Lytechinus pictus: one gene and its partner. The protein of the gene in region 2 binds, or shares a complex with, the protein of the main gene of each other region. Links are inferred from orthologs where the notes say so. Each region holds a gene or a part of one and is shown on either strand. Other genes may lie near its edges.

Region 1 (7,416 bases), on a different chromosome or scaffold from region 2:
TGTACAGATGGGGGCGGGGATTGGGGGCCCCCAAGTGTTTCACGGCCAAGAAAACAGGAGAAAAGAGGAGAAAAGGAAAGAAAAGGGAAATATTGTATTATCTTAATATTATGTCAAAATATAGATTTTTGTATTGAAAAGTTCAATATTTTTGCTTCAGCTGCCATATCTAGCCCCTCATTTTTTTTTACTCATTACGCCACTTGCTTCAGCCAATAGATCTGGTGCAGAACAGTCTGAACTAGTGGTATCATTGGTATGTTGTGAAAAAGTCACTGGTCATTTTTCTTTTAATATTGTGTAGTTTGTTGGCATTTGTATTTCTTCTTTTGATATTAATTAGAGCCCCTCTGGGCAATTTAAAAGGCCTCATATTCCAAAACTTCTTGGGGCTCTGCCCCCTCGACCCCCACGCCACCAGGGGCCTCTGGGCCCCCCATCCGGTGATAAATTGCTGGTTTGCGTAATGGATAGTGGAGCATTACAGATTCTCAACAAGAAATGTGGCGCTTCCAAAAAAGTACTTGAGATAGCTGCCTTATGTTATATGAAAAAAAAAGAATAGTAATAAAATTTGAGAAAAATTCTCTATTTGTGCGAGTTCATTGACCTTATTACGTAAAAGATAGTAAGGAGGAAAGGTGGGGGGGGGGGAGTTTGACATAGTCTTCAGTCTAGACATGGTATAATTGGTTTGAGTTTCAAATATGAGTCTGAACTTGCAGACTACCCTTACCTTAGCGCACTGGGTACCAGCAACAAGACAGGAAATCTCTCCCCCGACCTTCTTGGCAGCCGAGATGGCGTTGAGGGTTATGGGTACAAGACTCTCATTGTTGTGCTCTGCCACTATCAAGGTACTATTGTGTCTCTGCAGATAGGACAACTGAAAACAAAAACAAAAAGACAAAAAATTGTTTCATGGGATATCAGGTTGGGGATGCATGATGCATTATGCGGTCTAGTGATGAAAGGAATCTTTCTTGATAAATGAGGAAAATGTGCTATTGTTTTATTGTTACTTGCTTTTGAAACACTGTATTTCAGAAATTGGGGGCTATGTATGTGACTCCAGTCATGTACATGATTCCAATTCCTTAGTTTATCATCATCCAGAACAATCATACAGGAAATATCTCAAATCACGAACAAAAGTCAACTTACAAATAAAAAGAAATATCAGTTGCTTCCGTTAGTAATGAGATGGCAGCATAAATGCATCTTACATGTAGACCATGTGATGCAGAATAAATATTACCACTAGACAAGTCTATGATATACATGTATTAATATGTTACACTTTAGTCTAACGTTTTAAAATTAATATTGTTGATATCTTGGGAACATAGTTGCCACTTTTTTTACTCTAGAGGTAGAATCACGATTTGAAACATGTTTCTGCAGAATCATGGTTACGTTTTGAGGTAAACATGTTCTAAGACAAACATGAAAAGTGGGTTCATATGACAAATGTTTCTGTAGAATCAAGTTCAGAAAAGTTTGATTAAACATAAAGGTGACCTGAATCACGAATAGGGGCGAGTCAAAATGTTTAAAATGCAGACCAAATGACTATTAAAACACATTTTCCTATTTTGACAACCATTTGACTGTATAAAGCACAAAAAAACTTCCCTAAAATAGCTGAAATTTCACACTTCACATCTTTTTATCCAAGAAATGGTCCTGTACAATGCATTTTCCAAATTTCCCTGAAATTATATAGATTCAGACTAACAAGTTAGTTGGAAACTATCAAGAAAATGAAGATTTTCCCCCCTTTTCCTTAACCCTTATTAAACTGGGGGAGAGGGTCAATTAAACCCCCCCTCGACAAATTTTGCAGCTACGCCGCCATGCAATTTTTTTTACCGCCCAGCTCACTGACTTTTTACTTTCAAGTCTTGCACATCTTTTGAGACCAAATTTGTGACGCCCGGTTACGCAGTTCCGAAATGACGCAATATTTCCAACTACAAATTTAGTTTCAAATGAAAGCTACATGTAGAACATTCTTCTTAAATAGATTCTACTGTTAATTGATTGAAAAATAAGTTTAGCAATGTCCTTGACATGTAAAAATGGAAAACAAGGAAAAAATATTGAACAAGAAATAGAAAAATTATCACAATTTTTCACTTTTCACAATAATTCTTCCAGATTGACACATATTTTCTTCACAGTAATTCTTAATTTCAATGTTCTTCAATTGTGGAAATAAATTCAAATTGATTTTAATTGTGCAAAAAACAGAATAGAGTCTAGAATTTAGAAAGTCTATACCCTATGTGCTAGTGCTTTCAAATATTTTTTAGGATGAAAATGAAATATGATTAGTTGCCGATCTTTAAGGTAAAATGACATTGTACTACTACTAGGTTTAAGACATTAATTTCAGACCAACAATATGTGAAGAATCTTAGAAGCATTATAAGATGGTCTAATATGTTATCATAATATCTTTTAAATTGTTTTACACCTAAATCGGATGAATTGTGGCACCACCCTTTTTTGGTGGGCGTGGATGACAATGCACACAAGTCACAACCGATGTTTGCGTTTGCCACTCTTAGTGGAATAGTATCGTCTGGAATAAAAAGAAAAGTCATGCTTAATTAAATTTGTAGGAGCATAGAAAAGGACCCCCCCCCGGCTTCCTCCCCCCCCCCCCCCTTCATCATTAAAGTTGTGCTGAAACTGTAGGAGCTTGAACGAGACCTACGATACATCGACTGCGGGCCGTGGCTGCCCCGATCGACTGGCGTGGCCGTGTGCATTCGCACTGCGTAAACACAATATCAAGACAATAGACCTAAAAGCTTCGCTCATTATTTTGTGGAAATGAACTTTAAAAAAGAAATTTCATACCGTCTGTCCAATCCTCCTTGCTGGTCTACTAACGAGTCCGAACATTTTTTAAAGGTGATTTAATCAAATAACAGAACAAGAAATGTGCCGGTATAACGCTAACGTTAGAGGTGAAATGTTGTGTAAGATAAATGTCGACCTCTTTCGATGAGAAAATGCCAATGTATAAAAATTACAAAACGTCGTGGGGGGGGGGGCTGGGATCGAGGACGAGGATATTGATTTGATAGTAATTGATTATTTGCCCAACTCTTTACAGGCAGGGTCAAGATTTTTAAGGGGGACCAGACGACCTAAATTAAAAGACACGTCATGGCGGTTTTTTTTATAGCACTTACAGATTTACCGAAACTATTAACTATTTATTTTTATATTTTGTTCATGTTTTAGTAGTGTTTTTTACATGAGACGAAAAGTCATCGGGAGAGTCAGCAAATCTATTAATACTAGTCAGTAGGAGTCTAAAACTAAAAAAGAAAAAAGTCATTTTCAGTAGAGACACATTTACAGCCTGTCTCTACTGAAAATGACTTTTTTCTTTTGCTTTCCAGATGAATTAATGATAGCAAATTACTTCCAGAAATGGCAAGTTTCCTTTTAAAATGTTAGTTGTCGGAAATTGTTTACTTTAATTCAATTCTATATTTCATCTCCACTCAAACATAAAACAAAGTAATATAAATCAGGGCCCCGTCTTACAAAGAGTTGTGATTGAGCGATCATATGGCCAACAACGTCAACATCTAAAATGCATGCTTATTCATATCATTTTCTAGATATGATGAATATTCATACATCCATCGTTGTCTTGAAAATTCGGTGCATAATGTGATTCTCTTTGTTTACTAAGGATATCGTGCAAATTTCTTGTAGAAAAAATTTATGGCATGAGTATGGATTTCCATAAAGTTGAGATTGATTGGATCAATCGCAACTCTTTGTAATACGGGGCCCAGGTATTCCTGTAAATAGGACTAGTTTCCTTTTTTTTGTGCCTTCCATTAGGATTGTGGTCGATTACAAACACTGAGTCATTTCTTAATTCTTCAGTCTGTGCAGGGATTTAGACAAGATTGACAATGCTGTTTAAGCATGGGCGTCAATCCAAACTTGAGAATGAGGGGGACACAATAGCAACATGCAAGCATGTCACTTTTATAGGTATACTTTCCAGATCCATTACACTTTCGTCATACTCCACCGCTACATGTACCGTATGTCACAGGGGCGGATCCAGCCTTCGCCAATAGGGGGGGGGGGGGGGCCGGAATTTTTTTCACCCACATTTTCCCCGATCGGCCGCTCGAAGTTAATTTTTGTTTGTTTCTTTGAAGGGGTAATATATTTATATATAATATCATAAGCCTTATTTAAAAAGTGCGAGCTTTTTGTTTATTTTATGTATTTTGTTTTAAAATTCAAACATTTTGGGCAATGTTTATGATCCTAAACGAGATGTGTATTTAACTAAATAATTGCTGCGAGCGCGAAGCGCGAGCAGAAATTTTTAATATACGTTTTCATCTGATAAAAAAGGATCTGTTACCGGCAGCTTGTTAGCTATGAAGACGTTACATATTTCGACTATCAAATAATGTGAAGCGCGAGCTGAAAATTTTGACATTTTTACCGGAAGAATGAAAAAGGTTAAGTATATAGCTAAATAATTAATGCGAGCGCGAAGCGCGAGCTGAAAAATTCGAGATTCAAACCTAAAAATTGGACACTCTATTCATATTTTGTAAATCATGAAAATGATGAGTAATTGGAAATCGGTTTCCTACATAAATAATGCGAGCACAGAGCACGAGCACAAATTGTTTTATTTATTTTTGACATACGCTTTGGTCTGATCAGTTAACGGCTGCGTGTTAGCCATGATGACGTTACATATTTTAACTACCAAATAATGCGAGCGCGAAGCGCGAGCGGAAAAATTCTGGACACTCTATTCATGATTTGTAAATCATGAAAATGAGTAATTGGAAATTTTCCTACATTAATAATGCGAGCGCAAAGCGCGAGCAGACAATTTTTTATATTGTGATCTGAAACTGGATAATGATTTAAATAGAGAACAAGCTGCGTATCTAAATAAACGCGTGTTTCAGATTTCGACCTAGAACATGTAGAATTAGGGTAATTTAAATACATTTCTTATCATGAAAATCAAGAAAGCGAGCACAAAGCGCGAGCTAAAAATATATGATATTCCGCTCTGAAAAGGGTCAATTTAAGCTCTGTTTTTCAAGCACTTTGTGGGAAATTGTGAGGTGGATATGGATCACAGTTAAAAAGAGCTGATAAGTTTCATTATTATTACTTTGAGTTTTGACATAGCGGACCGGGACATTATGTCATCATATGAAAATGATGACTATCTTCCTATTTCTCTTCCTAAGCATGAGAGCGCGAAATCTCTTAATATTATGGCCTGAAAACTGGACATTTAAAGCACTTTTGTAATTATGAATAAGATGCATGAGTTGATATATTTCAACAATCAATGCGAGCGGAAATCGCGAACCGAAATTTCTGATAAACTGCATGTGATCAAATGGGGATTTTAAGTAGTTTGTTTTAGAATTAATATTGAGATAAACATAACTCACCAATCAAAATGCGAGCATGCAGCGCTAGCTGATACGTTTTCACAATCTGACCTGAATAGGGATATTTTGATAACTTTATGGAATACAGGAAAATAATAGGTACCTGACAAATCAAATTTTGCGAGCGCGCAGCGCAAGCAGAAAATGTTAATATTCAGACCATAAAATAATAATTCTTACAGAACACTTTTTAAACATCAAATTTGCAAATAAAAAAAAATAATGAAAGTTAAATTTTCGAGCTGAAATATGTTTTGTGTATTGACTTCAAGATTCATATTGAGCAAGATATGTAAATCACCTAAAAGGCGATGCGAGCGCAAAGCGCGAGCAAAAATTTTATATCCCGGCATGAAAGATTTTTTATTATTACTTTCCAAGTCTTCCCCTTATCTTATTCACTCGTCTTCCTCCTTTTATGTTTCCCTTTTTTTTCTCCTCTCTTTTCCCTTCTTCTTCTCTTTTTTTTTCTTTCTTTCCCTTTGTTTTTCTTTTTTTTTGCTCCTCCAATAGGGGGGGGGGCACTAGCGTACCTACGGGGGGGGGCAGGGGGGCACTCTGCCCCCCCCTGACGAGTCACAACCCATGCAAAAACGTATCTTTGCCCCCCTTGACGGGCTTGAAAAACCCTTTTTGCCCCCCCCCCCCTGACGAGCTTTAAGACCTTTAATGCCCCCCTGACGAGCTTGAAGACCTTTTTTTTTTTTTTTTTGCTTGTCAATTTTTTTCTGGTACGAAATCCTTTATTTGTGATCGAAGACCTTTTTTTTTTTTTTTTTTTTTTTTTTTTGCTTGTCAATTTTTTGCCGGACGGTTTTGCCCCCCCCTGTGGAAAATCCTAGGTACGCCACTGGGGGGGGGGGGGCGGCCCCCTGGATCCGCCTATGCTGTCATGCCGTGCATACCCACATGAAAAAAACCCACCACGCACGTGCGGGTCTCCATGTGGGTGCTCGCGTGTACCCCGGCGTCGTACGTACAGGAACGGCTCATAGACGGCTATAGCTGCGCTGCTTTTGAATGCGAATTTACCCACCGTTAATTGCATCGAAAAGTTACATGACAGTTGTTTTTTTTCTTTATATTTTTAAAGGGGAATCAACTCTCATTTCCTTGAGAAGGTATGCACATATTCCCCCCCCCCAGATGGTCACACTTCTTTTATGACAAAAACATGGGGGGGACATTTGATATTGTGTCCCCCCCCCTGAAAAAATCATGGGGGGGACACCCCCCCCCCCGTCCCCCACCGATTGACGCCCGTGTGTTTAAGCAAAGATTTACATAAGGTTAAATAAGCTAGTTCAGTTCTGGACGCAGGATCTTCTGTTCCTCTATGTCCAGCTCCTGGAGATAAACCTGACGTCTGAAGAATTGGCGCGGTCCGTGGGAGGAACCTCATAATCAAATTTGCATTTACGCCACCAAAAATCAATCCTCTTTTCAAATTGTAATACATCCTTAGATTCTTCTACAAGCCCATGAAGACTATTCCATAAGTTGCTGATTCTAAATGTAAAGAAGTTCTTACGTGTATTCTTATTAGCTCTAATCTTGAAAATATTTAGAAAATTCCTGCTTGAACATGATAGAACAAATTACAAAGATGATATCTTATGCTAAATGTACATGATTTGATATATAATCAGCTTTAACATCTATATCGAGGATGCTCGGATTTCTCAGAAAATATGGTTTATTTTCAGTTGTTTATTTTCTGGTATTTCCATTATATGATCGATTACAAACAAATTATTACAAATTTATCTGTGGACATGATCAAATTATCAAAATGCTAAATCTACATGGTTTGAGTTAAAAAAAATTAAGTCATATGCGTAGCCTTATGAGGCAAAATTGAGAGGGGTGTAGTTATGGTTGTCCTATTTCTCCATTTTTTTTTAATCGAGCGACTTTTGAGAGAACAAAATAAAAA
Region 2 (7,660 bases):
CGCTGGCGACTTTTTACAAATTTTCCCACATTTGCTATGGTGTGCCCTCACAATATTTGGATGATTACGATACACAACTGCATTAAATTTATGTGTTGTGTTAAAGCTATATAAATATATATAAAATATATATTAAAATAAGTGGCCATCTGTAAGGTTTAAAATGGCTTTGATATCAAGAGGTTCCGGGGCTCTGCCCTGGACCCCACCCAGAAAGCACTGTTATATGGATGAGTTTGGACCATGGCCCCCAAAAGTTCTACAACCAAACAAAAAATATGAGGAAAGAAAGGAAAGTGTATTACATTTTTCTGAATATCACGCTAAAATCTATCTTCATGTTAGATTCTCATGAAAAAGTGATTTTTTTTATCTCGCTCGGGACCTATATTAAGCTACTTAATTTTTTTTTAAAGTTATGTGTGCGGTGTAATATATATCCCAAAATGTATAATAATACATATATCTCAAAATAGTATATATCTCAAAAGAAGTTGTATTGCATTGGTAATGCTTAATTAAGATTATCCAAAAGCTATTAAAATAGATTAAGTTTGCACAGATTTTTATTACAAATATTTTATGACAGTATATAGACATATTGTGGTGTATGTACTGTATAATATATATTGAGTACATATTAAGGAAAGGTATTGATTCATATACATTCGCGTCTAAGCACGTGAACTTATGTATGTAAGTAATCACACTCATTACACATAACTTTCAAAAAAATGTTTGTAATAAAAATCTGCGTAAACTTACTTGATTTGAATAGCTATTGGATAATCCTAATTAAACATTACCGATGTAAAACATTTTCTTTTAAGATATACCTATATTTAGTAAATTAATCCAAATATATGCATGGTAATTGTTAAGCCATCATGTCTTTTACATCTTCAGATACCTGAAGAAGGCCCAACTAAATGGCCGAAAGCTTGTACTAAAACTACTAATAAAAGTTGAAGAAATACAGGCTACGTCTCTAGCTTCAATGCTTTTTGAGCTTCTTCGCCAATATATTACTCACTGAAGCACCCACGCAATGTTTAGGTCCTTGCTCATCACAATTATATATATATATATATTTGCCCGATACACCATATCGCCCCCTCAAAATTTTTGCCTTATGACGCCATTGCCTGTTCCATGATATGACCGGGAAATTTTTGGCTCTTGCCCCCCCTGGCCACCGACCCCTGTTACGCCGCTGCACATATGGCATTACCCAAGGATTTATTTTGTAACAAGAATGAACACAATCTATTCAGACATAAAAAAGGAAGCAATTTGAGCAACAAAAAAACTTTAAAGAAAAATGATGCACATGGCCTCATATCATCCGACTTTTTGACCCATAGATGACCTTTTACCCTATCATCCTCATGAACACACATGTGGAATTACCCAATATGTCATTTGTACAAAGTGTGATGCAGAAATTCAAAAAATGAGAGTAAATTGAACAAAAACTTTAAAATACATTTTTGTAATCCAGCTAGTTCAATTCAATAACATGTATAATTTATCTATAATCTATTTACATAAGGACATAATAATGGAAGTAATTACTCTAAAGCACAGCATAACAAGTGCACCATAGAAACACAAAGACATAATATATCGGGGGCGGGGGGGTACTGAAAAAAAGACTAGGAAAACAAATCTTTTAAACATAAAAAGTACACTGAATAAAAAAAACCAACTAAAGAAATACAAAAATTGGGCAATATATATATGAAAATAAATGAAAAGTTATTAATCGTCAACTGATCATCCTACCCTGAAACAAGGGCAGGCAAAACCAATCATTCCAAGAACCAGATATAAGTGTTTTCTTCAGTATTGACTTAAAAAACAATTGAGAGATCATTAAACAAAATTTCCCCTTTTTTTTACTTATAAAACAATTTTTTTACACAAACAGGAAAGGTGATTACTAACTTTAACAAGTTACAGTAGGTCTCCGCTGAACTTTGTTTGGGCGAGACAAAAAAGAACTTGGATTGAATTGGAACAAACAGAATGCTTTAACAGTCTACAACTCAATTAGCAGCAATACACTTGAGACCAGACCAAAAGCTTCGGTCTCTATAATATTGGTTGTTCCGCTGAACTCTTGTTTTGTTGGCTCCACTCACAGAGACCTAAGTTCTAACTTGATCTGTACAGGGACTCAATGGCCGTACACTACCAGTCACAATTCTTTGACTCACTATTACATGTTTCAGCCAAAGAACAATAGATTCAGTGGACTGAATCTAGTTTTCTCTGGTTGAAAACAAAGAATTGTGACTGGTACATAAGTTCGGATAAAACAGGGAAGTGGTACTGGTAGGTAGTTGCATGACAGCCATGAAGTCACTGTTTTTTCCTTTTAAATTTATTTTTTCCCATTTCATGCATTTAGGTGCATGTAAGGCCAAAACAATACTAACTAGCTTTATCTTGGTCCAGTTCTTTTTAAATACTTTTATGAAAAATGATAAAACCGAAGAGCCACGTCGCCGTCGGGGGTTTAAAATTAAAATAAATAAAAATTTAAATGCTAAAAAAAACACCTCGAAACAGACGGCTGCCAGCTGTCTAACTTGAGACACGAGTGATTTTTCTTTCAAGTGAAGAGAATATCCATATGGGCATTGATTTATTTCCAGATGGCTACATTTTTCGAACTTTTATTAGCGTTATCTACGAAATCAGCGATTGTCAAAGTCACGTCAAAGACACTGAGGCTATCTGTCGCACAATGTCAAGGCTACCCAAAGTCAAACCCAGCTCTCGGGAGCGCTCCCGGCTCGAGCACACTCGACTCTCGTTCACTTTCCAATTTCAAGTTACGGGCGTAAGGGTACGGCCTCTGATCGGTCAATGAATGTGTTTAAAATGAAAACACTTACACGAAATTGTCTAGAAAGTAACCGAAGCGCCATACTAATCGATTGTGTTCTTCCTACAGGGCTTAAGTTCGAACTAAAAGGACAGATTCAGAACGTCGGATCCGGCTCTCTAACTCTGGCTCTCGGAAGCTGATGTAAACATTTACGTAATATACACACAGTACAGCATGCGGATACTACCGATAGATGGCGCTCTTAACATTGAAATAAGTTGTAATTGCCTTATCATCCACATTCTCTTTCTCTCTTCTATGATTATTATGATTATATTATGGTCTCGGGAGCCCAGTCTTAGAAAGGCCATTTGCCTATGCTGGCTCCCTCCTATTCTCATTTATTTTCTTGTTAAATTTATTTCTATTTTTGTATCTATATTTGTATATAGTGTATTCTTTGATTTGTATGTTTTTAATGAGAATTTTGAATAAATACATGAAATGGAAAATGAAAGAAAAAATACATTTTATATGCAGGTTTCAAAATTTTGGAGAAATAATTAGTCCCCCCGCCCCCTTACCCGTCATGAACACTAAGGTCTTATAACTGGTTCTTTCATAACAAACAGATTTTTCACTAATAGCCCCCCCCCCCCCCCCCCCGGACCAAAATCCAATTGAAACCAGTTGGATTTCCAACTGGTTTGGTTTTAACTGGTTTAAATTGGTTTTAACTGGAATATAACAATTTCCAGTTGAAAACAATTGAAACCAGTTGGGCAACTGGAAATCCTTACTGGAACCAGTTGGGTAACTGGAAATGACTTCCAACTGGAAATGATTTCTAACTGGAACCAGTTGGGTAACTGGAAATCCTAACTGGAACCAGTTGGGTAACTGGAAATCCTAACTGGAACCAGTTGGGCAACTGGAAATCCTAACTGGAACCCGTTGGGCAACTGGAAATCCTTACTGGAACCAGTTGGGTAACTGGAAATGACTTCCAACTGGAAATGATTTCTAACTGGAACCAGTTGGGTAACTGGAAATCCTAACTGGAACCAGTTGGGTACTACTGGAAATCCTAACTGGAACCAGTTGGGTAACTGGAAATCCTAACTGGAACCAGTTGGGTGACTGGAAATCCTAACTGGAACCAATTGGGTAACTGGAAATGACTTCTAACTGGATATTAATTCTAATTGGAACCCGTTGGGTAACTGGAAATCATAACTGGATCCAGTTGGGTAACTGGAAATGACTTCCAATTGGTTTCCAATTGGAAATTTTCCAGTTACCCAACTGATTCCAATTGAAACCAGTTAATTTGCATATTATCTGCCAGTGTGCACAGATTAATGTTTTATGTGATTCATCATCATTTAAAATGTATCTATTTAATTATTTTCTATTTCAAGTACCAAACTTGTTTCAGATAAGTGTTTACAATGCTTAGCAGTGAAAACCATGTTCATAAATGTTATAGATTATAATTAAAACAGATTATAAGATAGTTAGTACACCACTAACTGTTACCAAATTACATCAAATACAAATACATATATTTGAAGATCTTTTATAAATAAATATACATTATGAAAGTCTATTTTATCAATGCCCTTTACATTGGTATTAATAGACATATTATAGCACTGCTTCTTTGTTGGCATGAGCAATAGTTAGCGCAAATTCTAATTAATTTGTAACTAATTAGGTCATTCCAAATGGAAGTTCCAACTGGTTCCAGTTGAAACCAGTAGCCTCCAATTGGTTTCAAGTTAAAACCAGTTGCTTCCAATTGGATTCAACTGGTTTTAATAGGGAAATTGGAACAACTGGAACCAATTGAAACCAGTTGCCAAATGGTTGCTTAATTGGTTTCAACTGGAACCAATTGCCAATTGGTTCCAGTTGCCCAATTGGTTTTAAGTGGAACCAGTTGGCAACTGGTTTCAATTGGTTCCAGTTGTTCCAATTTCCCTATTGAAACCAATTGGCCAACTGGTTTCAATTGGTTTTGCTCTAATTGGTTTCAACTGGATTTTGATCCCGACCCCCCCCCCCCCCCCCTCTCCTGCCCCTTCCTCTCTCTCTTTCTGTCTGTCTGTCTCTCTCAGAAACTGACACACACAACTATATGCATACAAGCAAACAATTCTCCTGTCATTTTAATCTATTTCCCACTATTATCCTTATTTCTCTTGAATAATATTTTAATTGACTGCTGTTTGATATCATGATGTAACAGTAGCATCATCACATTTCAGTACAGAGTGCAACATCTTATACCATTTGAGCATAACAGATTTTGGCAGCAATATATTATCACAAATAATTGATAAATGAAAATTACCAAGATCAAAAAATTTAATTCAAAAAATTAACATGTTTATTATAAGGAATCTATTTTCTAAACATTGACATTAACATAACAATAATAATTAGAGTCTATCAAGCATTAAATTGAATTTTAAAGAATGAAGGCAATGCATAGCTAAAAAAAGGCTGTTACTGGGTGGGGGTAGTATGGGGTGGGTAAATTTTGGGTACATTTTTCTAAATTGTACAATGTTTGTTACAATATTTCATTCAAAGGATTACGATGAGCCTATAGTTAATATCAGGGATGTATCCAAGATTTCATAAAAGAGCATGAAAATCTTTGATATTCGTTTATTTTTTTTCCAAAAAAGTTTGTCACTAAACGAATTTGGTAAATTCCTTTCAAATTTGCTGACAAGAAATAGTCTACTGATGTGAGAGCACTCCTCATAAAGGGGGGGGGGCACAATGCCAGAATCTACCTAAAGGGTGCCTTCCCGAATCAATACATTAGCCAATCGTTCACAAAATTTGATTTTGTCTACTGTCACTGTGGTTAGAATTCAATCTATTTTTAAAGTATAGTATATTCATATATTTTTGCAGTGGTAACCCATTTCAATTTTTTTTAATAGTAAGATAAGAATAAATGTAACTTAATAACCCTAAATAATCATTCAAGCTTTATGAAGACTTGTAATCATGGTAACTTTGCCCCCAGCCTGTTGCAGCTAACATTAAAACCTTAATTTGCTCAGCCCTGTTACAATGATAATTTTCATAATGACAATATTACAATAGTAATAACTCGTTTATGAAATGAGTTCCAGGAGTGATACTGACATTATTTCTTAATCTTCTGATCACCTTTATTATCATTTAGCTATGAATGATTTTTATTTCAAAATACAATATTTTTTGTCTTATTTACAACCCTAAGTATGTCACTTAAGGAAGACATATTCTGATATTGAATAGGCCTTTAGACTAGAAAATAATATTTATTTTCATCAAAACTACTAAGAACTAGTAAAAGTATAAAATATAAATAAAAGGTGATACATTTGCCCGTTGGAAATATATTTCTTACTTGTATTTTGTGTGAAATTTTGTACCAAAACTTGTATACTTAAATGTCTTTGCCCGGTGATGCAGGGGCCGCGGAAGGCGGGGGGGGGGGGGCTTCAGCCCCCCTCCCCCCCACTTTTTTTTCCAAAACCATGTACAAAACGTAAAAATGACCATACGATTGTGATTTTTTGCGTGGTCAGCCCCCCCCCCCCCCCCCACTTTGAAAACCGTTCAGCAGCCCCTGTGATGAACCTGAACTGTACTGCACTCTTTTCTACAGATGTGTAGTTTAAGTACCGTAACGTTCAATGATTTATCAATATAGTTATTTCAAATTAAATTCATTTTAATGTGTTATTGCAATGAAGTAACTACTTTTTATTAACTTGACCTTCATATTTCTTCTTGGCACTTTTTGTGATACCAGTACTTAAACAGCTTGGGAAGTGGGAAACCTGCATGGTAAAAAATAGAGAAAAGAACAAAATAAGCTGTAAATCATTCTTACTCATCTAGTCCAGTTTATTAAAAAGATGTAAACTCTATTTTATACTCTTCAGTGAAATAACAAGTTTAGCACATGCAGTCACTTTTGTCCTACATCCAGATAAATTCATAGATCAATATAATTATTTATAGTATGTTTTGATAATAAAGAGTGCAAATTAATTCAAATATTTTTCAGAATTTTGTTAATATCTTGTTTTTATGCACATGTATGTATATAGACAGGAGGCATATGGATAAGTACTGGTGAATCTGAATTCAAACAAATATAACTCACAATGGAACTTTAACATTACATGATATCATGTTTCAGCACAATTGGCCATAGCCCCCCCCCCCAAAAAAAAAAAGGTGGAATATTTAGTTATTTGTTTGTTTTTTTTTTTGGGGGGGGGGGGTGATGAGCTTATACAGCCTGTATATTATCAAAACAGCAAGCATACCTTGCAATTTTTCCATTCAGAAATCCTGTTCCTAATTTATAGATTGTAACTCACACTTGCTGATCTGCATGGTTCTCAATTTTGTACTTCTGACTGGGTGTGAACTGCTAAGAACTTGGTCCCATTGGATCTGCAATCAACAATTTAAAGTTTAGAGTTTTAGAGGAGATAAATAAAATTACTTTTCTTAAACAATATTTTTGAAATTTCCGCTTATTTTTCACAAAACAGTGATATGCACAACTCAGTGACATGCAAATTAGTCAGTCGATGATATCCGTCACTCACTATTTCTTTTGTTTTTTCATTGTTTGAATTATACAATATTTCATTTTTTACAGATTTGAACATAGGGACCCGGCCGACTTGACTGAACCATATAGTATTAAACAATGCTAATCCCACATGTTTAGGGATGAATTAATCACTGTTTCACTTGAAAACGAGGAGAAAATTATAATATTTCATATCTCATATA

What was found. The genes of interacting proteins can lie anywhere in the genome.
Region 1: the proteins of medium-chain specific acyl-CoA dehydrogenase, mitochondrial-like (region 2) and electron transfer flavoprotein subunit alpha, mitochondrial-like are in contact, whole or in part, in a crystal structure (PDB 2A1T), measured with the Homo sapiens proteins. The link is inferred for Lytechinus pictus from reciprocal best matches to the Homo sapiens genes ACADM and ETFA. Residues at the interface, in NP_000007.1 of Homo sapiens: Pro163, Lys173, Pro211, Gln232, Arg235, Glu237, Val251, Glu253; in NP_000117.1 of Homo sapiens: Arg223, Lys226, Arg249, Asp253, Ala283, Ile284, Gln285, Glu304.

Annotation. Positions count from the first base shown.
Region 1 is NC_087254.1:12,844,460-12,851,875, forward strand, and holds the start of electron transfer flavoprotein subunit alpha, mitochondrial-like, read right to left. Parts: upstream 3,036-7,416; 5' UTR 2,914-3,035; coding exon 2,869-2,913; intron 887-2,868; coding exon 737-886; intron 1-736. UniProt on the Homo sapiens protein: Heterodimeric electron transfer flavoprotein that accepts electrons from several mitochondrial dehydrogenases, including acyl-CoA dehydrogenases, glutaryl-CoA and sarcosine dehydrogenase.
Region 2 is NC_087259.1:22,186,327-22,193,986, reverse strand, and holds the start of medium-chain specific acyl-CoA dehydrogenase, mitochondrial-like, read right to left. Parts: upstream 3,066-7,660; 5' UTR 2,937-3,065; coding exon 2,904-2,936; intron 1-2,903. UniProt on the Homo sapiens protein: Medium-chain specific acyl-CoA dehydrogenase is one of the acyl-CoA dehydrogenases that catalyze the first step of mitochondrial fatty acid beta-oxidation, an aerobic process breaking down fatty acids into acetyl-CoA and allowing the production of energy from fats.